Linked DNA regions of Arabidopsis thaliana. The protein of the gene in region 3 purifies or fractionates together with the protein of the main gene of each other region. This does not show direct contact. Each region holds a gene or a part of one and is shown on either strand. Other genes may lie near its edges. The genes, in order: CHR4, CHR17, PI and CHR11.

What was found.
Region 1: the proteins of PI (region 3) and CHR4 purify together in Arabidopsis thaliana (affinity purification with mass spectrometry, with the first as the bait; one study listed by BioGRID). This does not show direct contact.
Region 2: the proteins of PI (region 3) and CHR17 purify together in Arabidopsis thaliana (affinity purification with mass spectrometry, with the first as the bait; one study listed by BioGRID). This does not show direct contact.
Region 4: the proteins of PI (region 3) and CHR11 purify together in Arabidopsis thaliana (affinity purification with mass spectrometry, with the first as the bait; one study listed by BioGRID). This does not show direct contact.

The regions. Positions count from the first base shown.
Region 1 is NC_003076.8:18,090,418-18,096,637, forward strand, and holds the start of CHR4 (chromatin remodeling 4), read right to left. Parts: upstream 3,491-6,220; 5' UTR 2,771-3,490; intron 1,864-2,770; 5' UTR 1,746-1,863; coding exon 1,527-1,745; intron 1,433-1,526; coding exon 1,331-1,432; intron 1,232-1,330; coding exon 476-1,231; intron 1-475. Other genes in the region: AT5G44820 (Nucleotide-diphospho-sugar transferase family protein), read right to left, coding at 5,378-5,860. UniProt on the Arabidopsis thaliana protein: Chromatin-remodeling protein that binds DNA through histones and regulates gene transcription. May specifically recognize and bind trimethylated 'Lys-27' (H3K27me3) and non-methylated 'Lys-4' of histone H3. Probable chromatin remodeling factor.
Region 2 is NC_003076.8:6,195,309-6,204,374, forward strand, and holds CHR17 (chromatin remodeling factor17), read right to left. Parts: upstream 6,859-9,066; 5' UTR 6,751-6,858; coding exon 6,538-6,750; intron 6,254-6,537; coding exon 6,122-6,253; intron 6,045-6,121; coding exon 5,938-6,044; intron 5,846-5,937; coding exon 5,733-5,845; intron 5,512-5,732; coding exon 5,414-5,511; intron 5,322-5,413; coding exon 5,142-5,321; intron 5,059-5,141; coding exon 4,837-5,058; intron 4,627-4,836; coding exon 4,492-4,626; intron 4,423-4,491; coding exon 4,140-4,422; intron 4,058-4,139; coding exon 3,984-4,057; intron 3,873-3,983; coding exon 3,652-3,872; intron 3,576-3,651; coding exon 3,488-3,575; intron 3,412-3,487; coding exon 3,318-3,411; intron 3,235-3,317; coding exon 3,046-3,234; intron 2,956-3,045; coding exon 2,921-2,955; intron 2,806-2,920; coding exon 2,729-2,805; intron 2,633-2,728; coding exon 2,543-2,632; intron 2,445-2,542; coding exon 2,375-2,444; intron 2,281-2,374; coding exon 2,226-2,280; intron 2,154-2,225; and 13 more. Other genes in the region: AT5G18610 (Protein kinase superfamily protein), read left to right, coding at 1-63; AT5G18630 (alpha/beta-Hydrolases superfamily protein), read left to right, coding at 7,657-7,729, 8,108-8,187, 8,420-8,485, 8,575-8,622, 8,720-8,787, 8,870-8,942, 9,023-9,066. UniProt on the Arabidopsis thaliana protein: Possesses intrinsic ATP-dependent nucleosome-remodeling activity. Constitutes the catalytic subunit of several complexes capable of forming ordered nucleosome arrays on chromatin. Involved in the formation of nucleosome distribution patterns.
Region 3 is NC_003076.8:6,826,349-6,832,612, reverse strand, and holds PI (K-box region and MADS-box transcription factor family protein), read right to left. Parts: upstream 3,710-6,264; 5' UTR 3,411-3,709; coding exon 3,156-3,410; intron 2,159-3,155; coding exon 2,097-2,158; intron 1,977-2,096; coding exon 1,877-1,976; coding exon of another isoform or gene 1,841-1,876; exon of another isoform or gene 1,805-1,840; coding exon 1,775-1,804; intron 1,687-1,774; coding exon 1,642-1,686; intron 1,540-1,641; coding exon 1,405-1,539; 3' UTR 1,098-1,404; downstream 1-1,097. Other genes in the region: BCB (blue-copper-binding protein), read right to left, coding at 5,205-5,623, 5,816-5,987. UniProt on the Arabidopsis thaliana protein: Probable transcription factor involved in the genetic control of flower development. Is required for normal development of petals and stamens in the wild-type flower.
Region 4 is NC_003074.8:1,938,452-1,947,499, reverse strand, and holds CHR11 (chromatin-remodeling protein 11), read right to left. Parts: upstream 6,528-9,048; 5' UTR 6,435-6,527; coding exon 6,237-6,434; intron 6,030-6,236; coding exon 5,898-6,029; intron 5,803-5,897; coding exon 5,696-5,802; intron 5,585-5,695; coding exon 5,472-5,584; intron 5,269-5,471; coding exon 5,171-5,268; intron 5,081-5,170; coding exon 4,901-5,080; intron 4,819-4,900; coding exon 4,597-4,818; intron 4,401-4,596; coding exon 4,266-4,400; intron 4,184-4,265; coding exon 3,901-4,183; intron 3,824-3,900; coding exon 3,750-3,823; intron 3,640-3,749; coding exon 3,419-3,639; intron 3,343-3,418; coding exon 3,255-3,342; intron 3,177-3,254; coding exon 3,083-3,176; intron 3,007-3,082; coding exon 2,812-3,006; intron 2,731-2,811; coding exon 2,696-2,730; intron 2,587-2,695; coding exon 2,510-2,586; intron 2,412-2,509; coding exon 2,322-2,411; intron 2,224-2,321; coding exon 2,154-2,223; intron 2,048-2,153; coding exon 1,993-2,047; intron 1,903-1,992; and 12 more. Other genes in the region: AT3G06410 (Zinc finger C-x8-C-x5-C-x3-H type family protein), read left to right, coding at 1-29; AT3G06390 (Uncharacterized protein family (UPF0497)), read left to right, coding at 7,793-8,052, 8,155-8,281, 8,375-8,587. UniProt on the Arabidopsis thaliana protein: Possesses intrinsic ATP-dependent nucleosome-remodeling activity. Constitutes the catalytic subunit of several complexes capable of forming ordered nucleosome arrays on chromatin. Involved in the formation of nucleosome distribution patterns.

The DNA.
Region 1 (6,220 bases), about 11 Mb from region 3:
AAAAGAGGTATCCATAATTCATCTGCCGAAACAGAGGTATAGTCACATGTATCATAACTACTTGTGAGAAACCACTATACTAATAAACAGGCAAAACAATATTGAGTTTGTGAAGAGTCGCAAAATGATAAGCAAAACAAAATGTCACTCTGGTTATATAAGAACTTAAAATAGCCACAATCTTCAGGACAGAACAAGAAACACTACATGCAATATTGACCAAAGACTCTTTACATTAATGCAGAAGATACTCAACATTAAATACAGAGTGTCAAACAATCTTGAAACGATTCTGAATCTTGTAACTCTACCAAATCTCTGATCTCTGAATTTTTTTTCTTTTATATCTTTTTAGTGCTACAACACACTTAAGAAAAAGGCGTGGATGCAACATTTTAAGGTTTCAGACAATTCATTTCCCTAGTATCAGCATAGTAGAATGTCTACAAAATCTATCATGAGTAGGAAATCATACCTTCACTTTTTCTGGTGTTTCTGTCTTGGACTGAGGTTTGGACAAGGATTTTAAAGTCACACGATTTTTCTTTTTCTTTTTTTTCGAAGACTCCGGTGATTTGGTAGTCTGAGAACTGGAACCCACTTTGGACAAACTTTTCTTCGCGCGTTTCTTATCAGTCTTGCACCTTTCAAGACTTTCCCCATCATTTAGTTCACGCTTCCGTTTTTTCCTTTTACCTTTTCCAGTCTCCATTTCAGCAACTGTCTTGTTCTCCACGATCTCACTGGAAGCATGTTCCAACTTCTCCACGGGTGCTTCATGAGTTTTCTCCGTATCTGATAGTTTAGATTCGGAGAGATCTTCACAGGACAGCAACGTTAATCCTGCATCAGATGGTAAATCTGCAGTGGGTATGACGGGTTTCCCCAAATCATCTTCTCCATGAGACGATGAATCAGGTCGGTCATCCGCAGATGCATGACCAAGCTCAGCAGTTGAACAGCCATCCATCGGGGAAGAATAAACTTCCTTTCCTGTGGATTTGCTCTCTTCGGCCGATATAGATTTCCCTTTCTCTGAAGATTGTTCTCCAGAAATTATAGAACTGCAATAAATCTGAGAAGCTCTTTCGCACTTTGGTCCGGCTTTTGAATTTCTTTTCTTGGTTTTTGTTCTTGCTCGCTTAGCAATGGCATCTAAACGATTGACAGGCTTGAGTGCTTCACTGTTTGGGGAACATTTTGGGCAGATCCACTTACCATTTGGAATCCGCTGGAGGAGACGAGATAAGGAGTAAGACAAGTTTCCCAAATTTAGGTGTTGCGAATCTACGACTACAAACGACACATGGAAAAAAAAAAAATCATTTACCTTAAGAGGTGGATTGAGGCATGCGGTATGATAGGTCCGAGGACAACTATCACAACACAATAAATCACCACCAAGGTCACAGATCACACATTCAAAATAATTCTGTAAGGAAAGAAAAATGATTAATTAAACAACACCATATAATAAAATAAGGAGACAAACTTTTAAGAACACCAGAAAGATAAAATGAAGTTACCCCATCATTTCCTTTCCTCTTAGAGGAGTTCCTTTCAGGAGTCGAATCAGTCTTAAGCCGCTGCTTACTTGGTTTAGAGGAAGAAGTGTATTCCGGGGAATCAAAAGCCATAGAACTATCCACTTTTTGGTCTAATATATCTAGTATAGACGGAAGTTTTCTTCGTTTCTGCTTCATGACCCAATCTCTTTTAATCATTTCACTGCCTGAATCTTTCATTTTCTACTTCTGTTTCCATACCATATGCTTGATAGAGAACCGGATAGACCTTCATGTGTAAATCACAGCTACCGAAGTAACTAAAGAATACTGGCCTTCAAAAAACTCTGTCTCTACACTAAAATTGTAAACAAAAAACGAGTAATGTAAACCATAATCTAAGATCAAGAGACACTGAAACAACAGTGAGGTAGTTAAATACTTAAATTGTACACATGCTCAGAAATACTGAACAGAAAAATTGATAAGATTAAATGAAGTATAACTCAAATCAATGATGCAGCATCGGACAAAGCACAGTGTACCAAACCATAAGGCCATAACCACAATTTCATTCACTTTTAAACCGATATGAAATCAAACAGCGTCATCCAAGCATATAAGCTATAGAAGCTAAGAAACTAAATGATGTCACCCCTAAAAATGGTGGTATAACGTTAGAAGCCTCACCATCCGTAATCAAAAGTCTTAATTAAAGATGAGACACAAACCTAGTAAGTAATCTAATCTTAACACAGCTTTTATAATAAACGATTCGTTCCCTCACTCCTTACGAATACTTCCATTAAATTCATACTTAATTACATTCCTCTACTGCAAACTACATTCCTCTACTTCAAAATCAGGTGTTCTCTAAGGCAATAATACACTAGTTCTAAAACATAGATCAATGATCCTATATAACTGAAATAATCAACGACAGATGGTAGAATTCATGAATCACTGAGATTCAAGTAAAGACAGCCATTGGTAATGAAACTCAAACAAACATAATTTCACACACAAATCAATAGAGAAAAGAGCTAAACAACACACATTGGCACTAAACATAAAGCTTCATTGGAGATAAACCCAATTCCCCCCCAAAGAAACTCAATTAAACCGAATCACACTAAATCAGTCCTTAATTAAACAGCATTAACATTACACAAGCATCAAAACCCCTCACCAAGTAAGATAAATCATCGAAATTACATAAGCAAATACAAAAAGAGGAAATACCCAGAAAGGAGAAAGCAGCTTACAAATCTGGGAATCTGAAATCGGAATAAAGTTGTTAAAGAGTCCTCCGATAATCAAGGACGAGAAATCCGGCGACGGAAGTTAGGGATTGAAGTCCCGGAGAAAGGGGCTTCTTCTTCTTCTTCTTCTAGGGCACGGCCTCACGAGAGAGAGATACGAAGGGAAAGAGAGAGAGAGAATGAGAGAAAGAGAGAAGGCGACACGCGAAACGATAAATAAATTAGAGATAGAGAGAGAGAAAGGTCAAGTCTTTGAGAGATGGGTTTGGGTTAAAGGGAGAGAGAGAGAGAGAGAGATAGCGAAAAGAAAGGCATATGATTCGGATTCGCCGGGCTCATAGGGGAACGGACTCTGACATGGCACCCAACAATCGCACCGCACGAGACAGAACCGGGAACGGAGAGTGACCTCTCTTCCTCTCTTTTCACTACACGTGTCCCCCTCTCTCTCTCTTTATCAACAACCCAACAACAAAGGTCTTGCCTTTTTGCTTTCTTCCTCCGTTTCGGTTCGGACCGGACCCTTCTCTGCTGTTATGTCTCGAACCATCATTTGTGTCAAGTGCGATCCAATGAGAGAAGAGACAAAAATCCGCCATGGATCTTAATTTCGAATTTTGTCTTACTTATTAGATCCTTTAGTTTCTACTTTGATATTATTTTTATGCTTCTTGTTTTTAGCTGGTTTTAGTTAAATTCGTTTAGATACTACTAGACAGAGAGCTTTTTAGTTTTATAGAATAAAGTTAAAAATTTCAAATCTATGTTTTTAAAACGCCGCCACCAGAGAAAATGATTATCTTTTCTTTGACGTTAATAACCTTAATTTAATGTTCTTCAGACTGAATAACTCTTTTTTTTTACTGTTATTTTATTTACTTAATATTTATTTAATGAAAAATTGTAAAGTGGACCATCAGGTATTTGGGCCGAACTTAGGTTACTTGTGATTGACATTAGGATTATACATTTGGGACCCATTTGATAGGCCTTTTGAAAGTGATTGCTGTCATAACATATATTCATTTTATCTGACACAAAATTTAAAGTGTTTAAAAAAAAAAAAAACAGATGTGGTTTTGTAATTGATAACGCGTAATTTTAATGGACTTTGTAACACTACAACTGAAATTTGTTCTTCTATGGTTAGTGTCCACTAAAAATAAGGTTGCATAAATGTTGGGAAACAAATATTGTGATTGTGTTATTGGATGGATGGTTGTGTACTTGTGTTATTTGTTTTTTGCAAACCAAGTTGAACACATTTGTTTTTGTTTTTTTTACAAAGATGAATCGATAAGCAAGGTGAGATACTATGGTTTACATTTGTATCTAGAACACGGTTTTATTATATGGTGTTTTACTGTTTTTGTTATTCAAATGATTGTTTTCTTCTTTGGTGATCTTATAGTTATAATACTGTATCTTTGTAGGTTCTTTGATAATTGAACAACATATTCATGAGGAAGATGAATTAAATGTAAATATTATATGTAAAACTTAAAATTCAAGTGTTTCTTTACATTACATCAATTATGGAAAATGTGCCTAATCGTACATTCTTTTGGGTTGGGTCTAGCAGTTGAAAACTCCTTTCAAAGGAGCACAAATTCTCATTTTTTTTGGGCCAATGGACCAAGTACTACTTGGTAAACATTCAAGTGTTTTTTCTATTTTGTCATGTGTGGTAGTACCATATTCGAGTTTCGACTTGGTTAACGTTTTTTAAAGAGGCAGTATGTGATTATAAACACACTCAACTCTCTATAAGTTGAAGAACTAGTCACAGTCCAACAGATTTTCTAAAATTTATGTACAATAAATTTCAAAATTTTAGGGTACAAAATATCTATTATGTGTTACATAATTTGTAAATGAATGACACATATCATATCATTATTGATGAATCACTTTGTTTAAATCTTGCCTACTTTTAATCCAATGGAGATATGATAAACTTATATAACCTACACTCGAAAGCATCTGGGCAAATTGGCAAGCCACCTATGTTGTGTTGGGCTTCTCCGGCAGCCCATCTCATCTAAATTTAAAAAACTTGTAACGAATCTAGGCCCAAACCAAAATTATAACTGACCAAACCAATAACTACTTAAATCTACAAATCGGGTAAATGACTACAAAATCTACGTTGATAGAACTTATGAAACTACATTGATCATTTTTCATATTACCAAAATCAAAATCGTATCATTTCTTTCTTTTTTTTAATGTAATGTCAAATTATATTCAAAAGAAAAAATATATACGTTTTTACAACTTGTGCTTCGGTAATTGAAAATAAGATCAAAAACTTTGAGAAATTTCAGAAAAAGTTTGAAACAAAAATCGTATCATTTCACAACACAATTTATTCAATACATTAACATTTCAAACCAAAAACACTAAAAGTCTAGAAGATTATTTTAGTACTTTCTAGCATTCGGCTCGGAAAACAAAAAATGACATTAACAAACAGAGAAAATTAACCATCAAAAAAAATATTTGATTAGATTAGAGAGCTAAAGAATATTCCTTGCACGAACAATAAACTCTTCATTTTTAAATATACTTTTCATCCAAATCTCAACAAAACAAAGAAAGAAGGAAATCTCAATCTTCCAAACACTTCATAGGAACACTCCACGTCGTGTTCTGCACTGGTTCTGACAAAGACAGGTACTTTCTCCAATCATCAAGGACAAGATTCAGATCATGAAGCTTCTTGTCCAAACCAATACAACAATTAGCATGCATTGTGCAAACCAAGTTTATGTCTCTGCTCGTTTGACAAAACCCACCAAAGTAAACTGTATCAAAGAATCTCATTTGGATTCCAATCTCTGAGATAAAAGGCTCATGCTTGATTCTGTTGAACACATCTTGATCATGCAAGTCTGGATAATCTAGACGAGATTTGTGCCAAAATTTGTAAAACTCAATGCTTCGATTGTTTGATCTCACGTATGTGAAACCACCATTGACCCAATTGTCTGAATCATAAGGATTTCCAAAGAATCTGTCACACGCCATTTGGAAGTCTCCATCTGGATATAACCGAGGAAATGGATCTCTAAGCCACATTATATCTGCGTCCTATATTCAAACACACACAATAATTGTCTATATAATCCCTTTAGCTTCGATTGAGAAGAACATTGCAAAATCGTGGAACATATACAACAAAAATGTTGAATTCATCAATCAAACGGAAACCAAAAAAATGACTTATGGTCTAATTAGAAAAAATGTGGGATAAAATAAAGGTGACAACCAATGTCGAATAAAATGGCAGAATTGTAAAATGCAAAGGTGAAATAGCGGAAACTTTTGCTATATGGTGCAAATTCTAATTATAAAAAGTTGAAATATCTATATAATAATAATAATAAATGTGTTTTGGTGGTTTACAAAAACTTTTGATGTGTAATTTTTTTTTATACTTTACATGTTTGC
Region 2 (9,066 bases), 630 kb from region 3:
AATTGGAGGGAGAGGAAGAGAGCTACCAATGGACCGGGCAGCTTTGATAGTACAAATGACTGAAATGGGAAAGATGAAAGCTTGTTTGAAAAATAGAGAACTTTTGTCACTGTGCCAAAAGGCAAAGGGAGAGAGGCTTTGGGTTCATGCGAACATTTTGTCGAGTCGGGTCGGTCAGTTGTCGAATTTGATGTCTGAGTCGAGAAAGAGGACTCTTCAATATTGTGGTTGAAGCTGAAGAACATATGAGGAAGAGAGTTCAAGAAGAATGATGAGTAGTTGGGGACGATTAGGAGGGGAAGAAAAAGTTTATTTTCAGGTGATGTTTTTGGGGTTTTTTTTTTTTTTTTTTTTTTTTTTTTTTTTTTTTTCTTCTTGTTCAATGGGTTGTATATGTAATATGGGAGGGAGGATTCGAGTCGATTTTTATAATTTTTCTGTACTATTTAATGTCTCATTGTGTATGGATTCAGGTTTCGAGTCTACAGACAGAAGGAAAAGAAGAAAAAAAATCTATCTTTGAAAGACTTCTCTTATCATCTACAAATCTACATTTGTCACACTCAATTGGGAAGTTGTGACAACATGAGAAGAGACGAGAGAGTTATGTTTTGTTCAAATCCGACCACAAAAGTTGATTTGAGATTTACTAAAAACGCACTACTAGGAATGTGGTGAATATTTCTACAAACAAAATAGAGTAAAATACACGTTGAAGAAATAAGAGAAGTCGGAGACAATGCAGTGATGCTTGCGGGTACAAAATATTAGATCCTTGTCTCTAAGGAGCTTCTTCTAACTAATTCTCCGATTCGGAATCAAACCTAGAAGTGATCATAAATCTTTCTGATTACTTAGTGATGGATTCAACACAAGCCTTCTTATTTCCTACGCTTTCCCTGCAGAGACATAAAGTTTTTTTTTAGTTAGGATCAGAAATAGATGGTCTGTCTGCTTTGCATGAATTAACCAGTAAAATGAAAAACTCTTTTTATGTTTTGGAAATGATTTTGAGTACCGAGCTCACATAATCATCCATTGACAGCTGCTTTCGTTTCTTCAGAAGAGATGAAGGGCTCTCATTTGCTTGCCTACCCGAAGGTCGTTTTGATGGCGTTGCACTCTGAAACAAGTTGTAGAACAGATCATGAGAAACAATTCCACAGCATCTCATCAGTAAATGAAAATGTAAACTTAAAATGTTCTTCGCACAAAAAAAAAAAAATGTTCCTTCAAGTCCTCACCTTTGAAAGCTTCTTCTCTTTTCGGGCTTGCCTCTCTCTCTCATCAAATTCTTGATTCTCTTTCTCAATCAACCTGATTAGTGTGTCACATCTCCTTGCAAGTTCCTGAGTTGTGCGGGATTTTACAAACCAGTCAAACCTAAACAAGGGGGATGTCCGAAACGCTGCCTTTAGCTCATCCCAGTTTCCATACCCAAGTTTATGGACCATGCATATCTGATAATCACAAGTTCATCGGGTCAATATCATATTAGAATAAAACAATAACAATGAAATCTCAACAAAGAGTTTGATAAATAGATGTCATACCATGAAACGGTCGCACTCTTCATTGTACAGCTTCCCTTTGTTCTGACCATATTGAATCTTCAGTTCCAGCCACGGGTTTCTGTAGCGATCCAGTTTCTTCCCAATAGCTTTCATGATTTCATCTTTCCTAGAGATTCTTGCTTCCCCTCTCTCAATATTCTTGATGATTCTGTCGTAATCTACAATTTTTACAAAGGAAAACAAGAGGCAGAGCTTACTTAGGATAAATATCCAACTTTGTCGCACTGCAAACACTCATTAACTTTACTTAACAATCTAAAGTTACTAACCATTCAGCTCTTTATATCGCACTTGGAAAACTTGAGCATATCGTTCAACCTCTTCCTCAGTTTTCCCTTCCATCTCAGAGGCAATACTCTTTATGTCGTTCCGGCCATACTTCTCACAAGCCCTAATGAAGGCATTGAAGTCTCTTCTGCTCCATGTTGAGAAACCCTAAAAAATATCAACTCCATTAAATTATAAAAAAACCATCAAAAACAAATGTCAACCCACAGTAAGGTCGAATGGTTTGGCTTGCCTCTTCCAGCAATAGCTCCTTTTCTTCCACTTCTTCAGCAGTTAAGGGATCTCCAACTTCTGCAAAATTATTTCTTAAGTAATAGATTCAGTAAAATAATGTAAGAAAAGAGGGCAAAGACTGAGAAAGACCTTCAGGTTCATCAACCTCAATTGTGTCTTTCATTTGAGTTTTCTGATGTGCTTGCTGAAACCAGAGTGAAACAAATTGCTATTCAGAACTAATCAGACACAAAAGCTGCATAAATTACATAACATGTTGATAAACTTGTTATTCCCACCATAAGGTATCGCACTTCTTTTTCATACAGCTCAGTCAGCCTCTGAATGTTAAAGAACTGAAAATCATGCCTGCAGGATGGACAAGAAATTAGATTTTTACGATAAAAGTACTATAAATAAGACAGGGAAAAGGCTAAATGCAGAGTGGAGACAATTGAGGTACTCACAATTGGGGCATGCGTGGAATTCTAGGCTCTTTAGGTTTAGCTGGAGCACCTTGTCGCAACGTTTGCTTGAAGTATTCAACTTCAGAGTAGCTAAAGGGTGGGTAGAGAAAAGTAAATTGTTGAAGTTAGATATTGTTTAGGAAGACAGGATAGACCACGTAATGAAAAAGTAGAAGTAATATTTACTTGCGCTTTCTCTCTCTTTTTGGTGGATCATTCCAATTTTCACTCACAATCTTTTTAAAATCCACCTTGCTCTCATCCTACCAAACAAAATTAAAAAAGAAATCAGGAAACGATATTCGAAAAACTGCAGAGCATAACCACAGTATGCGTTAAACCTTTCCTTCAATCATTCAATTAATTATCCAAGAATACCTTGTTGTCATCGTCAAAATCATAAAAGTCAGCACCTGCAACAAACCAAAAACTATCTTGTTTGGACATCCCATTACCCATGCAAGGGAGTTACCATTGGAAAAAGGGATAAATAGCACACTTACTGTCATCCATTTTAAACTGTATTGCATCTTCAGTAAATTTCTTCATCTTGGCATCAAGTTCAGCCGTTGCCTCTTCTCCTTTGGCAATGATTCTGTCAATATCCTCATCCGTAATTGTGCTATCTTTAGAACTAAACACCATTTCAGCACCATATCTCACCATTTGAAGCAACTCATCCTTATTAACAGCTGGAAAGCAAAGAAAAGAAATCAGTATATATATGTAAGAGAAAATCCAATACATCTAACAGCCTCAGTACACAAGCACTTACTTTTCTGTTCTGCCAATCTCCCTTGCTGAATAACCAGAGCATCAAGTGCCAACTTCTTGTAAGCTCTCTCAATGACTTTAGCCTCAATAGCATTCTGCATAAGACCAATGCAGAATTAGTTCAAGTTCTCCAGGTCATTCTTACTTCATACACATGGGTACAAGAGTAACCTCGGTGCAGAACCGGAACACTTGAACTTCTTTTTTTTGACCAATCCTATGTGCACGATCCTGAGCTTGCAAGTCAACTTGAGGGTTCCTGCCATAATCCACCCACCTCATTAGGCATAAAAGAAAACACTCATAAATTACAATGGACACAAAAAGAGCCTTACCAGTCACTATCATAGAGGATCACAACATCTGCAGTAGCAAGATTGATACCAAGTCCTCCAGCTCTAGTGGATAACAAGAAAACGAATTTCTCACTTCCTGGCTTGTTATAGGCTTCTATGGAAGCATCTCGTTCGTCACCACCAGTATTTCCATCAATACGGCAGTACTGGTAACCACGATACATTAGGTAATCCTCGAGAATATCCAAAAGCCTTGTCATCTGATACAGATGAGCAAAATCGTTGGAATAAGCACAAAGAACCAAGAAAGATATCACTCAGAAAAAAGGAATCAAAGATAGGAACAATTATTTGTTTGCGTTAATGAATACCTGAGAAAATATCAGAACCCTTGAATCTCGATCCTTCAACTTAGGTAGCAATTTATCTAAGAGAACCATCTTACCTAGAAACAAGAACATGTAAAGAGAAAATAACTAAGCCAATTGCCACATTTCTGAATGATCTACTTGTAATGTAAATCTTACCTGCGTTTGTTACAAGGTGATCTCCTGTAGTATATGGGGGACCAGGCTCCGCACCCTGGAAGAGATAAGGGTGATTGCAGCATTTCCGCAATTGCATTGCTATGTTCAACAGACGTTTGCGTTCTCCACCACCATTAACCACTTCAAGATCCTTCTGCAGTAAAGCCTTGTAGTACTGTTTTTGCATTTGAGACATGCCAACTTTGAGTATTGTCTCCTTTTTTGGAGGTAAGCCTTTCTCTACATCTGATTTTAACCTCCGAAGAAGAAATGGTCGCAGAACCTACAAAGATGAGGTAAATGATTAGCATAAGAACTTAGAGAATAACCTTGATAAAATATGAGTACATACCTTGTGAAGTTGTTGAACAACTTCTTGCTGGTCGTTTTCACCAGAAATTTGAAACCACTCGTCAAAAGTTTCTGCTGAACTAAAAACCTCAGGGAGAAGAAAATTGAGAAGGGCCCACAATTCATGGAGATTATTCTGTAGTAGAAACATATGAAATGAATACAATATTAACTCAAGCAAATCAAGTACAGAAGATAGTAAGAAGCATGTCTAAGGAACACGAAAAGAAAAAAAAACTAAGTTCAACAGACTCAAGCAAGAAAGTAGTTTCAACATAGGCAGAAGCAATCTGACAGAAAAATTGAAGGATCTAAACAATTATAGATCAAAAGATTTGACAAGTACCTGAAGGGGGGTTCCCGTGATAAGAAGCCGATAGTTGGTGCTGAAAAGTCTCATGGTTTTCGAAAGGAGTGAATTCTCATTTTTAATTCGATGTGCTTCATCAATGATTATATATCGCCAGCTAAAACGGCGCAATGTTGTCTTCTCTTTGATAGCCATCTCAAAGCTTGTTACACAAATGTCGAATTTCCCTGCAACTAGCAGTTCTTCACGAATATGTCTCTGCATTATTTAAAATATATCTCAGAATCCTGCCAGGTGCATATAAATGCAACCATTCAAATGTAAGAGCTATTATGACTTACTCTTTCCTCGGGATTACCGAGAAATTTCACAGCACGCAGGACAGGACAAAATCGGCGAATTTCATTCATCCAGTTACCAAGGGTTGATTTTGGAGCAACTACCATATGAGGGCCATTAATTCCCCTGTACTCATGCAGGTAAGCCAACAAAGAAATGGTTTGAAGCGTCTTCCCCAGACCCTAGACCATGAACAAAAACAATAAAGATTAGCATCAGATAACATTAGAGAGCTGAAAAATCTTATTATATGCTAAGATAATTAGTGGTTTACCATTTCATCTGCAAGAATCCCATTTATGCCGTTCTCATACAGCCGAATGAGCCAGTTTAAACCAGCTAATTGGTAATCTCTTAACTTCCCCTGAATACCTGCAATATGAAGAGTATGAAGATCAGATCTCTAAATTCTACAGAATTTATGCAGTCCTACCTAGAAATTGTGAGCTCGCAACTGAAGAATATATCAAACAACTCTACCAATCAAAGAAGTGGGCATAAGGTGTCAAATCCTATAATAACTTCGACTCGCAATAGGACTTGAGCAAACATACGCTATATCAAGATATTAGGAGCAAAACAAAGGTACTTACAAGCGGGCTGAGTGAGCAACCGTGTGCCTCCAGATCCAACTATACCACCCTCTTCTTCTTTTAAACACTCTTCATCTTCCTCTTCCTCGGTTAGTTTGGAAGAATGGCGACCCCTGACGATAAAGTGAAACCCAATAAATTATATTTCTGGAAACTTAATATGAATAACCACAATTTATTTTGAGATAAGTTGCACTCAACACACCTTCCTTTTCCCTTCTTCTGGGACGGAGACGGGTCACTTTTAGCAAAATGTGCAAATAACTCAGTTTGCTGCAGAAGATACTTTATCCTCCCCTTTCCTTTATTGTTCTAATAAATGGAATGATTGAGTTATTTCAATACCTCTGGATACTAAAGACAAGCAGCTCAGTTATTTACTAACTTACCATATCAGCATCTATGGAAGCATTTTGGGAGTCTAAGATTTGCTGAATTTTCTGCTTCTTCATCTTCTGCATTTCTTTGAGTCTAGCCTTCTCACGTTTGCTGATCTCAGCTTTCTCCTCGTCTTCTTCGTCCTACATATAACCATCAAATTATGAAAAGAGTGACCAAATATCCTCACGAGTCACATGAATGTACCATCATAATGAGCGACCACCCATCATTGTAAGCACTTCTAAGCATAAACCTTCAAACAAAGAGAGTCGAAACCAAAAGACACCCAAATATCGAATATACGCTCAAAGGAAACCCTAATCTTACTTAGAATACATTCAGATTTCCAAATACAGCAATCCCCGAATTCACAGCCGACATGCGAATGTAAATCGAAGAGTGGAAAACAGAAACGAAGACATACCTCTTCAGCGTCATCTTCTACGGGGACAACCTCGTCGTCAGAGACAGGTGCTTCGTCGGGCGCAACATCTTCCTCGTCAGAGCCCGCAGAGCGAGCGACGGCCTCGAGCTCGTCATCATCTTCTTCCACATTGGCCTGATCGTTAACTTGCTCCTCTTCCTCCGACGAGTAAGCCTCGTCTGAAGAAACTTCCCGCTTCGAAGCTCTAGCCATCGACGCGCCTCTACGAATCCTGATTTCGTCTGAGAGATCGAATCGAGGGTTCCTGAGTTTTTTTTGCTTTGGTTAGTAAATAAACAAAAGTGAAATTAAAAGCAACAAACCCGACGTTTGAAACGACCGTAGCTTCTATTTTACCCCGTTGATTTCGAGAAATCAAATCTACGGCTGAGATGTGCCACGTTGGCTTGACTTATAAAGATTCTCCCGCCACTTGAGAAGTAAGAGTTTCGGAAATTCCCGCCTTGGAATTCGGGCTTTAAAGGCCCATGGGCTCGAAGTTAAACTTAGAAGAAAGCGAAAGTCAAAAAGGTCAACTTCTCGTTCTTATAACGGAACGGCCTTATCCATTTATCCGCCCGAATCACGTATCTGACACCTCAGCACTTGAAGTTGCGACACGCTACACACCTAAAATTCCAATAATACCCTTTGAAAGAGCCTACACGCTTGTCTCATGCACCTTTGCGTATAGAGGATGAAAGTGGAAGTTAAGAAAAAAAAAACCGAATATTCGTATTTTAATCGCCGTTTCTTTTCTTCTATTAGCTTCTGTTTCGCAAGATCACGACTTCTATATAATAATATATAAGCTCGCCGTATAATTTTCTTGCCGGGAATAATCTCCGATCATCGTCGGAAATTTCCGAATTGTTGTAAAAGAAGTCCAATTTAGGCTTTGGATCCTCAGTTTAATTTATCTGGGACTTTTGGTTGCTGAAATCTCTTTCGGGTTTTGTCCTAATCCTCATTAGTTTGGGTTTCGTGAGTCTCGTTTTATAAGGTATATTTTTGGCTAATTTGCTTCCGAATTCTGCTTTGTTTTAGCTCAATTTTGCCCTTAACATTGGTTGATGAACAGAGGATGATGTGGTTGTGTTTATTGTCTTCTTGCAGAACATGGGACAAAAGAGATTGTTGTTCTTGCTGGCAGTTTTTACTTTTCTTGTTTCATCTTCATATGGTAGAGGTGGTAATGCAACTTCTATAATGATTCTATGTCTGTTTCCTTTATTGGGACTTCCAGTTTTTTTATTCTCCTGAGTCTCTCTGAGCTTAATTAAGATTTTAAACTTTCTGTGTAATGTGAAGTGCTTGGGAAATTGGAAATTTAATCTGGCTACAGTGATTTTTCATTAAGGCCTAATTACATGTTCTATCATGTTTGGAACAAATCAATTCATAATCCTTGTAGCATCATCATATACATAAGGAACCATGAAGGTCAAAATATTGATTTCAAAGCTTTATGTTTTCGACAATTTCATGTTCTTGGTATGAGTTGTGAGGCTACGAAGGAGTTAAGACTGAAGCAAGTGGATTTATGTTAGCTTCTTTCTTCTAACTGCAGTTCTCAAGTTGAAGAGCGATGATGATCGACCTGTTTACAACCATACGCTTGCCGTCACGCTTGTGGAGTATGCCTCTGCGGTAAGTTAATGGCAGATTAGTGAAGTAGTAAAAGACCTTTGATAATGATTTAGCTTCAAAACGTAATACCCTGTAGAACGAATGTCATTTATATCTAGTGTTCTGCAAGTGAGAAGAAATTACACTTGTCCTCTTCATATTTTCATTTATCATTATTTGCACTACTAGAGAAAAGAGATGATGCTGATAACGTACATAAGATGAGTGAATCAAGTTTGTAAGATGTATGCAGGTCTATGAGTCTGATTTGACAAAACTCTTCACTTGGACGTGCGAAAGATGCAATGGTTTGACAAAGGTAAAAAACACATGTTGAAGCAGATCACTGTTTGAACTTTGAAGCCGCAATTATTGAGTTGAGCTCTAACGTTTGTTAGGATGGTGCAGGATTTCGAAGTAATAGAGGTCATATTTGACGTTGAACACTGCTTACAGGTCTGCTCTGATATCATAAGCTACAGCTGGTCATGAACTCATGATGTTTCTTCATTGAACAATTATTAATATCAGTACATGTAACTTGTAACAACAGGCGTATGTTGGGGTGGCTAAGGATTTGAATGCTATCATTATTGCATTTCGGGGAACTCAAGAACACAGGTTTTATTCTAGTCATTGTAATCTAAAAGCTACTCCTTCGCATAAACTTGGTTAATGCTTAATCAATCCAAAACTTGTGCAGCATACAAAATTGGGTCTCAGACTTGTTCTGGAAACAGCTCGATCTGAATTACCCTGACATGCCAGATGCAATGGTACACTTTAACAACAAGTATTTGTCATTGAGTTGGTCTTGTAGTACGGTGGAATTTGTAATAGTTATCCACATTGGCAGGTGCACCATGGCTTTTACAGTGCTTATCACAATACAACTTTACG
Region 3 (6,264 bases):
AAAAAAAACTCATTGTATGAAAATAAATCTTAAATAGAGAGAGCGAGTGCTACACGCCTACACGAAAACGAATTATTTGATTTTTTCTTTCTGTTGTTTCTTTGTTTTCATTGTTATACTCATAATAACAGAAAACGAAATGTTCGGCGATTCATGATTCGCTTGCAGCAAGTGATTTGGTTCAGAAAGTGATTGGGAAAGCAAATCAACTTGTCTTTATTTTATTTTGAGAGAACAAAAAGTTAGAAAGTTGTTGTCCAATTGGACCCTATGGGTTTATCCATTCATTATACATTAGTTGGCGGATAAGGGTTTGTCAGGTTATTAATGTTTATCATCACACATATTCATAATTTTATTTTTATTTTGTTAAAACTGTATTTTTAAAATTATTCATCATCATTTTGTTAGGGGATTAACCAAAATATTTCCTCTCCAATCAGTCATTTGGAGGTTAAGAGGTAGCCACCTGACCAAGTTACCATCACTATTTTGGCGATTTTCTGTGTCACCAATTTATCACGAAAAGCCATGGTAAATTTTCAAACCTCTACACGTCTCATATATCAATTAATTAGGAGCAATGTTTTGAGGATGAATTTTCTCTGTCACCATCAATATTGAAATTGTTTTTTTTTTTTTTTTTTTTTGCTAAAGAATATTGAAATTTTATGAAAGCAAGATTAAACTGCAGAATATTGGTTGAGTGATTACAAAGTTGTCTTTGTACATGTTAACTAAAACGTATTTATGGGTCAACAATGGATAAGGGCCCATATATCGTTAAATATAGTCACTAGTCAGAACCCAATAACCTACATAAACACCATTCTCTTTAGCCTTAAAGAAGAGCGGCCAAGGCTGATTTCTACATTTTTTAGATTTTAGTTTCTTAAGAAAAAAGGTTGTTAATACAGGCTTTTGAAGGGGGAAGATATAAAGTTCAACCACATTTTTTTAATTTTTACGACCATAACCTCTTTGTATGAAGACATATTTATTCAAAGTAAAATTATTGAAGGGTATCCAGACAAAATATTGTATAACATTTTACGTTTACCTTTTTATTTTACTCCAATTTTTTTTCTTTTTTTTTTCTCTCCAAATTAGTTAGAGAACAATTCTAACTTTTAGAAAGAGAAAAGGATCTTCTTCTTTATCACAAATAGCTTATCACAGAATAATAAGTTTCACACAGATCAATTAGTTCGAAACGTTTAAGCACACAACACAACCAATACATAGAGGTCATAAGCAAACAACACACATATAGCTTAAGTAAAAAGTCTGATAGCGAGTATATATGTTGCTCGAGATTAAGACACACAGATTGATAAAGACAAACTAAAGACCACGATATTATAGATAGGAGTTGATCAGGATGAGATTATAAAATCTCGATGATCAATCGATGACCAAAGACATAATCTTTTCCTGAAGATTTGGCTGAATCGGTTGCACTCTATATCCAAACTGCCCATCATGATCTCTCATCATCATTCCTCTTGCGTTGCTTGCTATAGCCATCTCCTGTTGTTGCTGCAATTTCCAAAAACCATATCTTTACATAAACATACTAATAGTTTCAAACCAAATCATTATTAAAACTTATAAATGCATGAAGATTCATTATATGTATACCAGCTGGAAAGTGAGTTGCCGTTGCTCCTCCGCCATCATCTTCTCCTGTTAAGAAAGAATGATGCAACCATTAATACATATTTCAATCCGAAAGCTAAGAAGTAGAGTACTATAAGATTAGTTATATGCTCACATTTCTCCTCTTTGATATAAGGATCTCCATCTGTGCCAAGCAGACCAAATAAGAAGTTAAATATATTCATGTGTATGAATGTATGTAGAAATGTATACATACCTGGTGGTCTCGGACTTTGTCGAGGCCATGTTCAATGGCGTGCTCGACAGCCATCAGATTTTTCAAGTTGAGAGACTGTATATCTTCTCCCTTCAAATGCCTGTAGTCACAATTTCCATGAACTTCTCAATTTGATATTTCAACATTATTATAATCAAATGTTTTATATATATACTATACTAGGGTAAAGATATGGCAATGAAGGGTGAAGAATAATGACCTGAGCTCCAGTTGTAAGCTATCATTCTCTTTCTTGATCCTATCAATCTCATTGCTAAGGTTCTGGAGACAAAAAATATGTATTAGATGAGCAATAAAGGTTTTAAGAATTTAGATCAAACAAAAAAAATACTTAGTAATCTGTACAAACTAAACATAAATATAGATATACAAAGAAGCAATCCATGACAAGTCTCTCTATGTTCATGTTTCATGCAAAGCATATAACACACACACACACACTGACACACATATATGTATATATATTGATATTAGTATATGTAAAAGCATACACAGATATACATGCACAAATACTACTAGGCAGTGACTTAAATGGTATAAAAGCCTCTGTATGCTTATTACCCTATAGAGATATATCTCATTTGTGAGAACTAAACCTACATTTGTCAGAGCTAATTAATAATACATATAATATTTGCATCAAAATTTAATTTAAAAAGGATACTCAAAACTCAAAAGCAATTTTCAAGTTTTCAATTAGTTTTGAAAGCCAGAAACGTAAAATCAGTGTACTAATCAGAAATTCTCATTCCCAGATACATATCACATCCCAGATTTTTCTCTCAATTAATAACTCCATAAACTACGGATCTGATTCGCATAAGATTTGGTCTTGATGGTTTCAAAACACAGTTGGTTAGATATACTCTAGATTATACAAATTAAGCAGGAACAAAAGAAAAGAATAACTTCCATGTTTTGTGGCTCCATGTCTTGTTGAGTACAAGAAAATCAATAAAGACGCATGTTAGGCTACATACACAAAGAAACCTTTGTAGATCTGCATCTAGGGTTAGAGTATTTTTCTTTCTCTTTGACATATTTTAGGAAAAGAAAATTAAATAACCAATTTCATGATATCTAGCTCAGAATATATGTTTTTGAGACAAAACACTATAGTAGATCTGCATCTAGGGTTAAAGATTCAAGGGTCTTTTGACATGTTTTTGGTAAAGAAATTGAAAACTTATTACATGATTTTGGCCATGGAATATTTTTGAGACAAAGAAACTTTAGATTAAAAAGAGAGCAAAATTACCTCATGCTTAGCATCCCATAGTTTCTTGCCAGATAACTTCTGGTATTGGTCCAACATAGCACCAAGATCCATGGAAGGACAACAGTAATCAATCATCTTACCATTACTTGCAAAGATTATGAGGGCAACTTTTGCATCACAAAGAACTGTGATCTCTTTAGCCTTCTTCACCAATCCATTCCTCCTCTTTGAGAACGTCACCACTCTGTTGTTTGCGTTCTCTATCCTCTTTATCTCGATCTTTCCTCTACCCATCTTTCTCTCTCTATCTCTTTCTCAATTTTAGGGTTTGCTATGAAATTGTTAAGATATGGAGGAGAGGATATGTGGTTTATATGAAGAACAAGAAGAGGAGCATTGGTTTTAAAGTAACATTGATGAGATAGAGAGAGAAATGTTTTGATTAATCTTGAGGTGAAGAGAGACTTTGACAGTTTGGGATTGAAAACAAAGCTACTTTCTTGAGGGCACAGTCATGGAAGGCTTGCTTTTGGTTCGCTTATTACACATAGCCAACTCTATTTTCTCTCCTTTTTTTACAGTACCAAGAAGATAAAAAAAAAACTTGAAGTAACGTAATAAAATAAAGTAAAAACAAACTTAGTGATTTTGCTTAATGAACACTCTTTGCATGTGATTGATGTTTATTTTCTTTCATTTGATTTGATCATCTCAGTCTCTCTCGTGATAGGTTAAAGTGTCGTTTAATTAACCTCTGGTCTCTTCCGTACTATGTTTTCTTCAATGAACTGTGTAGAGAAAACAAATTCTAGATATCTGGAAAGATAAAATTCTTCATATGAAATGTGGTCAAACTTTTATTTAGCTTACTCGTGTATGTATATAATTAATTAAATTTAAATTTGAGAGGCAAACATGATAATACCATAATTTCTTATCCAACCACATATATCATCAATTAATTACTTTGGGAAACTATCTTATTATGTCATCAATTATATAAAACGTGAAATAAGATAGTGTCCCAATGATTTTGCAACTAAATCATTTTGCAAATAAATTTCCCATTTTGTCTATCTCGAAAACTAACCATTAAATCAAATGAAAGCAACGAGTTTTGCAACTTTGTAGATTTAAAACCAAAAATCTCTGTAAAGAATTGCTTTTATTTTTACAGGTTCTTACTTTGGCAAAACCAAGACTTGCTATTTCAAGAACTCTATGTCATATATAGGTCTTATCGAATATCGTAGCTACACTAAAAAATCAAACATATTAAATTATTGAAAGTTGAAGATATCACATTGACAAATGAAGTAAATAAAATAAAGTTAAATTCAGATGGTTTAGAAAAAGGAAAAAAAAAAAAGAAAAAGGAGCAGTGTAATTACCAAAGACCTTGGTATAACCATTAGACTTTATCATGCTTACATTGTTATGGGGAAAATGTCTTTGGTTGTTGAAAACAAAACAAGTTTATGGTTTTCTTGATTCACGTCGATCAGACACGTGTCAATTTATTGTGGAATTTTGTGGTCTTATGTTTTGTACTTAGTACGGGCATACTTTTTGGCATTTTCTCGATTATCAAACTATAAAGCCAGAGATTAAAAATCTCCACACACAAAAAAAAAAAAAAAAAAAAAAAAAAGTTGTGAATTCAGGTGAGAAACGTATCCACTGAAACAAAAATACCATATTGTTGGTATATTGAATTAGTAGATAACCTATGTCTTTTTAATATTATTCTAACTTCGGTTCACAATCAGGTAATGTTTACTCGTTGATTGAAAATATTGAGAAGGCAAATTTTGTCTAATTATACATGAAAACTAGACAAATTGGATGAAGAAGATGACTAATTTTCATGAAATATGGTAATATATAGTAGTAATCTCAATGATATTGAAACCCACTCTTTATTTTGCAACCGAATAATCATATATTGAAACTCAATACTAATCACAAGTATAAGACGTTTATAATGACTTGAAAACAAGTCCTTATTCTCACAAATAATCAAATACATGACTATTTAAATAAGGAGAGTAAGGTAAAACAAATACATAACTAGGTTTCGAGTGTGACTCAAAAGAGAGCAACAACAGCAGAAACAAAAGCGACCAGAAAAGTAGCACCACCTAATGAGGAAGCGGCATTTCCAGCTGGAGTAGTGGTTCCGCTAGAGCCTGAAGGTGTTGTGGTCCCACCCGCAGTGGGAGGAGTGGTTCCTCCAGTACTTGGGGTTGATCCAGGTGCTGGGGTAGCACCGGCACCAGGAGTAGCACCTCCAGTTGCACCAGCAGCAACTACAGTGATGGAAAGTTTTTGACCAAAACGACAATGGTCACCGACGGTGCAGATAAAGTATTGTGGTCCAGTGGTGTTTAGCATAATTTTGACCGGAGGAACGGTCATGTGGCTAATGGGTTTCTCTTTCTCACAGTTTTCAAATGCAGCTTCTGATACAACTGCCACATCATGCCTCCCAGCAGCGAAATCAAATTCTGTAATAAGAATATCAACATCAGTCGGTGGAAACTCAATTAATCCCTTTTTTAGCTAAAATATGTTCATAAGAATATAGAAAGAAAGACAGAACAACACCGACATGATCCATGCACGATCCCATAACTATGACTGTTATAAGAACAAGAAAAACAAAGACATATTTCAGCTATAAGAACAATAAAACTCACCGAGCTCGTCGCCTACACGGAAAGTTTTACCGGTAGCCCAAGTAGTATAGAACTCGGGGTCCATAGGTCTCGTCCATTCCGTATCATCACCAACATCGTAGTCCTCCGCGAAGACAACAACGGCAGCGAAAACCAAAACAAGAAACGTAACCGTTTTGAAAACTCCGGCCATTATGTTATGTGTTGAAGAACTCAGGTCACCCCCTTTTCTTTTCTTGGTCGAGAACTATATATGTCGTCTCTTAAAAGATAGTAAATGACCCCTTTTGATTTTTGTGTTTGTTGTGGTTTCAAAAGTCTTGCAAGAGAGACTTATATTTATAGGACAATTAAAGAGAGGCTCTCAAGGAGTCATACGCAAGATACGGGAAGACGCGTTACGTGTTGTGTCGTTGAACAAATCCAAATTTAGATATTATCACTTGTGGTCAATTTTGTCTGCTAAGTTT
Region 4 (9,048 bases), on a different chromosome or scaffold from region 3:
GCAGCATAGAAGCTAAGACTTCAAGTTAAAAAAAAAAAAGAGAGGAAAATATTCTCAATTCTTCATGAACTAAGCAACATTAAGAAAAAAAGAGAAAAGAAGATTATTTTTGGGGTCTGAGATTTGATGGAAGCAGAGAGACTAAAGCTTCTGTCATTGACCATTTGTCCATATATAATATATTCTCTCATACGGCCATCTCTCCTCTCTTGTTTATTTTTCTTGAATAACGAATTACTAATAAATGGCCTTATTCAAGCGACATTCATCAGAAGTCCCCTGTTTTTATTCCTTCATGAATCTGGAGGAGTAATTTAAAATGTCTGCGAACGTAGAAAGAAGCATAAACGGATATAGTGTACACATTTTCTCTTCCTCGTTCTTGTAAGTTGTATCCAATGACATCTACATTCAATCACTGCACATTGCACGAACAATGCCTATGTACATCTTCTTTCCACAAAAGTATCAGATCTCTCCTCTCTAAGTAAATAAAATGCAACCGTTGAACAAAGAAGTAATAAATTGTGGAAAAAATCGTCTGTTCATATATCCCTCAGAAACTCATAACTTTTGCTTAAGCTTCAGCCTAAGTTGCCATCCAATGGCCTCAAATCCTTTTGTTCAGTTTCTTTACGGAAGAGAAGTCTACAAAATTATAATTAAGTCATTTCATTAAATCCAAGTCAAACCAGGACAAACATTCATGAAAGCAGAATGAAATCCATTTGCTATGTTTTTAACATTAGCTTAACTATATGTAACAACAAAGACTCGACAGATCCGTAAACACATAATCTCATCTCATCGACAGGTGCTTCCGCTTCTTCGTCGATGAAGGACTCTCACTTGCTTGTCTTCCTAAAGGTCGCTTTGATGGTGTTGCACTCTTCAAAGATTAAAAACCAGAAAAGCATTAACCACCTAAAGAAATCAAATCAAAAGAATACAACCTTATACATGAAAATATTGCATTATTTTACCTTCGCGAGCTTCTTCTCTTTGCGGGCTTGCCTCTCTCTTTCATCAAACTCCTGGTTCTCTTTCTCGATCAGTCGAATCAGAGTGTCGCATCTTCTTGCAAGTTCCTGACTCGTGCGGGATTTCACAAACCAGTCAAACCTGAACACAGACGATGTCCTAAATGCTGCCTTTAGCTCATCCCAATTCCCATAACCAAGTTTGTGAATCATGCAGATCTGTTTTTCACCACCAAAGTTCCTCAACAGTCAAAAACTTCATGATATAATTAATGAGACAGAACAGCAAAAAGGGAAACGAGAAAAAGACATACCATGAAACGGTCACACTCTTCATTGTACAGCTTGCCTTTGTTCTGACCATATTGAATCTTCAGTTCCAGCCAAGGGTTTCTGTAGCGATCCAGTTTCTTCCCTATGGCCTTCATGATTTCGTCTTTCCTAGAGATCCTTGCCTCTCCCCTCTCAATGTTCTTAATGATTCTATCATAGTCTACATATTTAGAGGGAAAGATGATAAACTTACTTAGCATAAGCTCTTTTTGGAGGTAGGAATTACTTAGAAACATGTAAAAACACTGCATAACTTAGCATTGAAAGGTGTTACTTACCGTTCAGCTCCTTGTACCGCTCTTTAAATACTTTGGCATATCTTTCAACTTCTTCCTCTGTTTTCCCTTCCATCTCAGAGGCAATGCTTTTTATGTCGTTGCGGCCATACTTCTCACAAGCCCTGAGGAAAGTATTAAAATCTCTTCTGCTCCATGTTGAGAAACCCTGGAGATTGACAATTACAAAAAATTAATTAAAGCCTACCAAATCAAATGTCTAAGACCACTCTAACATCAAACATATTCACTTGCCTCCTCCAATAATCCCTCCTTTTCTTCTACTTCTTCAGTAGTTAAGGGATCCCCACCTTCTAACAAAAAAATTCTTAATCAGTAATAGGTTTGCTGAAAAACATGTTAACAAAGTGGGTACATGTTAACAAAGTGGGTACAAGCTTGACCTTCTGGTTCTTCAACATCAATTGTGTCTTTCAACTGATTTTTCTGATGTGTTTGCTGAAACCAAAAAGCACAAAAAGAAGCAAGTTGCTTTTATAAGGCAAAAAAACTCGCTCTTAAGCACATCAAAGGAATCAAGTGTTTCGTTTTGAGAGAGGCCTACCATGAGATAACGTACTTCCTTTTCATACAACTCGGTCAATCTCTGAATGTTAAAGAACTGGAAATCGTGCCTGAAAGAGGGACAATAAATTAGATTTCTAGTGTAAGAAAATCATCAAAACAGGGAAAAGGCATTCAACAATGAGATGGAGGTTGTTGAGGTACTCACAACTGGGGCATGCGCGGAATTCTAGGCTCTTTAGGTTTAGCTGGAGCACCTTGCCGCAATGTTTGCTTAAAGTACTCAGATTCAGAGTAGCTGAAGATACAGTAGATAAAACAAAAGGGATGTTTCTTTTAGATATGAAGACTGGCAAAATAGGACTGCACAATGTATAAGACAGAAGTAATCATTACTTGCGCTTTCTCTCCCGCTTGGGGGGATCATTCCAATTGTCGCTTACAATCTTTTTAAAATCGAGCTTGTTTTCATCCTATGAACAAATTTACAAATATATTAGTAAATTTTATCATCAGTAATGCAGAGCAAAGCTAGGGATATGACATGAAAGTTAAGACTATGCAAAGAAATATACAAGTTACCTTATTGTCATCATCAAAATCATAGAAGTCAGCACCTACAACAAATAAAACAACAGATTATCAAAACATTACAATATTCACACAACCTAATAGGGGAAATAGTAGGTAAGTGACACCCTTACTGTCATCCATTTTAAACTGTATAGCATCTTCTGTGAATTTCTTCATCTTAGCATCAAGTTCAGCTGTTGCCTCTTCTCCTTTGGCAATGATTCTATCAATATCCTCGTCTGTGATTGTGCTATCTTTAGAACTGAACACCATCTCAGCACCATATCTTACCATTTGAAGCAACTCATCCTTATTGACAGCTGCATAGTTAAGATAAATACCAATTCTGTCAGAGATGAACCAATGCATAAAGCAATCACTGTATAACGCACTTACTTTTCTGTTCTGCCAATCTCCCTTGTTGAATAACCAGAGCATCAAGTGCTAACTTCTTGTAAGCTCTTTCAATCACTTTCTCCTCAATAGCAGACTGTAAACAAACAACACATAATTAATTTTAAACCTCTCATGGCTGTTTTAACTTGAAATTCACGGAGAGGAGACCAACCTCAGTGCAGAATCGAAACACTTGAACTTCTTTTTTTTGACCAATCCTATGGGCACGATCCTGAGCTTGCAAGTCGACTTGTGGGTTCCTGCCAGAATATGCCAGACTCGTCAAACGTGAAGAGAAAGTTCATAAACTACAGTGGACAATGATGAGAGACTTACCAATCACTATCGTAAAGGATCACAACATCTGCAGTAGCAAGATTGATACCAAGCCCTCCAGCTCTAGTAGATAACAAGAAAACAAATTTCTCACTTCCTGGCTTGTTGTAGGCTTCTATGGAGGCATCTCGTTCGTCACCACCAGTGTTTCCATCAATACGGCAATACAAGTAACCACGATACATTAAATAGTCCTCAAGAATATCCAAAAGTCTTGTCATCTGACATGTGGAAAGAAAAGAATAAGGCTCAGACTTTACATAGACAAAGGAAAAAGAGAAGATGAACTGTAAGAAACCATTATATCCAGCTGTTCTGTATTAGCGTTTACCTGAGAAAATATCAGCACCCTTGAATCACGTTCTTTCAACTTAGGAAGCAATTTATCCAAGAGAACCATCTTACCTAAAATAACAATATAGAGATGCTTCATAAAAAACTTCCACAGAAATCTGAAGGATCTAGTTTATTTCTAGCCTTACCAGCATTTGTTATAAGGTGATCTCCTGTGGTATATGGGGGACCAGGTTCTGCACCCTGGAAGAGATAGGGGTGATTGCAGCATTTACGCAGTTGCATTGCAATGTTTAGCAGACGTTTGCGTTCTCCACCAGCATTAACCGCTTCAAGATCCTTCTGCAGTAAAGCCTTGTAGTATTGCTTTTGCATCTGAGACATACCAACTTTAAGTATGGTCTCCTTCTTCGGTGGCAAACCTTTCTCAACATCTGACTTTAGTCTTCGAAGAAGAAATGGTCGAAGAACCTAAAAAGATACATGAAAGCAATTAACCTACGACTCACACAGAACAGAATAAACTCAATGCAAGGAATGGGTGCATCCATACCTTGTGCAGTTGTTGCACAACTTCTTGCTGGTCATTCTCACCAGAAATTTGAAACCATTCATCAAAAGTCTCTGCTGAACTAAAAATCTCAGGCAGAAGAAAATTTAGAAGAGCCCACAGTTCATGGAGATTATTCTGCATATATGAGGACAATATGAGTACAGCAGGCTACACAGTCATTATACGGTAAATATTAAAAGTGCCCGGAAAAGCAAAAGTTAAGAGTGCAAACAGAGCCGTACAAGAAAGGTTGTTTCAACATTCAATTAGAAGCAACTTAACAAAGAAAACTTCAATGTCCAAATATTCAAGAATAAGATAGAGCAAACACCTGAAGGGGGGTCCCCGTGATAAGAAGCCGATAATTGGTGCTAAAAAGTCTCATGGTTTTAGAAAGGAGTGAATTCTCGTTCTTGATTCGATGCGCTTCATCAATGATAATATAACGCCAGCTAAACCGACGAAGTGCTGTCTTCTCTTTGATGGCCATCTCAAAGCTTGTGACACAAATATCAAATTTCCCAGCAACTAGCAGGTCTTCTCGAATATGTCTCTGCATCAGTTAGCAGACATTTCAGAATCCTGGGATAAACGTTTACATGAAATTCTGAAATGGCAGACAGCTCATGACTTACCCTCTCCTCAGGATTACCAAGGAACTTCACAGCACGTAGGACAGGACAAAACCGGCGAATTTCGTTCATCCAATTACCAAGTGTTGATTTTGGAGCAACCACCATATGGGGACCATTGATTCCCCTGTATTCATGAAGATATGCCAACAAAGAAATCGTTTGAAGCGTCTTCCCCAGACCCTAGACCACAGGGAAAAAAAAGTTTCATGATTAGCATGACAGAATATAGAGAACTTATTCTGCTTGGATCGTTGGGGGAGAATTATTTACCATTTCATCAGCAAGAATTCCATTTATGCCATTCTCATAAAGACGAATGAGCCAGTTCAAACCAGCTAATTGGTAATCTCTCATCTTCCCTTGAATACCTGTCGATTGAGAAGAAAAATAGATGAATCTCAAGCTTTCCCAGTAATTTACGCTATACTACATACTAACTGTGAGGTCACAAAAATATGTATGGTTACGCAAATGGACGGAGATGTCAATCATATTGTACTTGTTGCTCGAGACTAGAGAGACGATTAATATACAGTAATCCTAGACTAAAGAGCAAAATACAGGTACTTACAAGAGGGCTGTGTGAGTAACCGTGTGTTTCCAGATCCAGTTAAGCCATCCTCTTCTTCCTTTAGATACTCTTCGTCTTCCTCCTCTTCAGTTATTTTGGAAGCATGACGTCCCCTGAAGGTAGAAGTTAAAACCACATAAATCAGGGCCTGGCTCATCATATTTACTCTGAAGCTAGAAGCAATGATGAACCGATATTTTAGGAAAAAATTGCATCTAACACACCTTCCTTTTGCCTTCTTCTGAGAAGAAGATCCATCACTTTTAGCAAAGTGGGCAAATAACTCAGTTTGCTGCAGAAGATACTTCAGTCTCCCTTTTCCCTTATTGTTCTAAAACACATGGAATGATTCAGAATCGTCAGAACTTAAAAGCACGAGAACGAAAAGTAGCTAAAAACCTGAAATATATAGTTCAAACAACGCACCATATCCGCGTCAATGGAAGCATTCTGCGACTCCAGCATCTCTTGAATCTTCTGCTTCTTCAACTTCTGCATCTCTTTAAGTCTGGCTTTCTCACGTTTGCTGATTTCAGCTTTTTCCTCATCTTCTTCGTCCTGCTTATACCACAATGAGCCACCATGCGCAGACATTCAATGAACTTTCACTCAACAAAAATTCGACTAAAACTAACAAACGAAGGAAGACGCGAACGCCGAATCCATTGCATTAAATGAAATTTCAACTTTCCAAGTACAAAAAAGATGCAGTTCACTGAGATTTCAAAAATCACAGCCATCAAAACGAAATTAGCCTGCAGCTACCTCGTAATCATCTTCTACGGGAGCAGCCTCTCCGTCGGAGACTGGTGATTCGTCGGCGGCGGCTACTTCGTCATCGTCGGAGCCAGAAGAACGAGCAACAGCCTCGAGCTCCTCCTCATCTTCTTCTTCATTATCCTTAACCCGCTCTTCTTCCTCCTCTGACGAGAAAGCCTCATCGGAATTCGAATTTCTCGCCATGGAAGCTACGAAATCTGCTTTCGCCTTGAGATCGAGGGTTCGCTTCGCTTGTGAGAAAGTAAAATAAAGATTTTAAAAAAAAAGTGAAACTTTAGATACAAATTGCAAAACGACCGAAGCTTCAGGGTAATTTGTAACCGTTGATTAAGCTGAATAAATATATGGCTACGATGTAACTAGTCGCTTCATCGAACGGGGAATTAGTAATTAATTACCCGCCACCTGAGCAAGAGAGTTGTTTTGGAACATTCGCGATTTGGGCTTTGTTTAATCATAGTTGGGCCTGACTGACCCATAAGACCCACTTTCAAGCCCGATATTTTCCCCAACTTATTACTATGCTGGAGCTGCTCGAGAAAGATTCTCCAGTTACACTATTTTTAATCTTTGTGATTGATCATCGCCCCCAATTTGTTAAAGCTATCTCTAATTTTATATATTTGGATTTACTAAAACCAGTTAGGTATTATTAAGATATGAAATAAAAATCATGATGAGTTCATATATATTATTACTGTTAGGTCTGACTTTTTTTGTGTTGTTCTCAGACTTGTGCAGTCACTCTGTATTGGTATCAAGAGATAAAGTTTGGTGATTTTGCTAAGACAAAACTACTCTATTTCGACTGGATTAGTATCTGAAATAGCTTTATCCATGTTAAAACATTATAATATGTTTGAGAAGTGCTGAAGTGGTCATGCTACTGGGACATTTGTTTCTTGCAGTTTAATGTTTTTACATAAAATAAGATATCCATTTACATGATTTGCAGCCACAAGCAGAAAGCAAAGTGATACCTAAGAGCATGTATAAAATTACCTTTTTCATGCAGATGATTGGTTAACCACTCCTACTGTTCTTTACTCTCCTTTTTTGTATTTTGTTTTTGATTACCGTCGCCCAATTTCCTCACCAACCTTCCCGGGGTTGGCCTAACACATTCCCATTGTATATATCTACATTATCCATAACTTATACCTATAGAAATATATTAATTTTTCTATTAATCAAAAATAGATATGCATGCAAAATTTGTTGTAACAAACATTATATGTTAACGTTGAAATAAAACTACAACATCTAGTGAATTTTCCAAAAACTATTTCGAAATTTTAAACAATGAAAAATGCAAGCTAGAAATTAAATGAATTGATATTCATGTTCCTGTATATATACATTAGTGAATAGTGTAAATAAATATAAATTTGTTTCTTGGCGTGTGGGTAATAACTACAACTCATCACCGGGACTATCTATATATATATACTCACAAATAATCTCATGTAGCGGCCAACTTCATAACTCACAGTCCAAACTTAACCACAACCTAATCCACAAAAGAGTTATAGAATCATCTGATGGCGTCTACTGAGAACCCTGACCCTGAAACTGGCAAATCTGAACCGATTCCCGCGTCGGCTACACCACCACCCTCATCAGCCGCCAGTTTCCTAGATTGTCGTAAAATAGACATTATAACAAGAGTTCTGCTTTTCTCCGCCACTCTGACTGCTCTTATAGTAATGGTGACTAGCGACCAGACAGAGATGACTCAGCTCCCTGGAGTTTCGTCTCCGGCTCCTGTCTCCGCCGAGTTCAATGACTCGCCCGCTTTCATGTTTGTCTCTTTAATTAATTAAATTCCTCCATGTTTGATCATAATCATGGAATGTTTTCTAGTTTAAACTTAATGTGTTAAATTGGCTATATATCTATGCAGATACTTCGTGGTTGCTCTCGTGGTAGCTAGTTTCTATGCGCTCATATCAACACTTGTCTCCATCTCTCTACTCTTGAAACCTGAGTTCACTGCACAGTTCTCCATTTACCTAGCCTCGTTAGACATGGTAACTTGTTTTACAAGGAACTTTGAAACTTCCATATACCATGTTAATTAGGGTGTTTTAAGTAATAATTCCGGAATATGTATATATGAACAGGTGATGCTGGGGATTTTGGCGTCTGCAACGGGAACGGCGGGAGGAGTTGCGTACATAGCGTTGAAAGGAAACGAAGAAGTTGGGTGGAACAAGATCTGTAATGTCTACGACAAGTTTTGTCGTTACATCGCAACTTCGCTTGCCTTATCTCTATTTGCTTCACTTCTTCTTCTAGTTTTATCCATCTGGTCAGCACTCTCCAAGAGAACATGAACAAAAGCTTATAAATCCATCCTTTCCCTGTACTGTGTATTTGTTCACACGTGTTTGTCTGTGTCTTGATTTGTTTTGTTTATGTTATATTAATGTAAAAGCATGCGTTTCTATATACAGTACGAAGTTGCATTCGTGTATCTCTTGTCGCGTAATATACTAATATGTAACTTCTTTATCCAAAATTCGGTCTTCATATACAACAAATTAAGATTCAAGAAAACTCTTCATATACCAATCACTGAAATCTCTCTCGAGCCCTGAGACATTGCTTGCTCACATCAAGACTTGTTGCAAGAAACACGGAGTCATCGTCTCAGGACAAAACTCATCCGAACCAAACCTTGGCGGTTTTGAGAGGATCACAGAGAACCTAAAGGACGAAAATACAGCGATAGATCTGTTCACTTACCAGAGAATGGGAGAGCACTTTTCTTTTCCCCAGATCATTTCCATGCCGT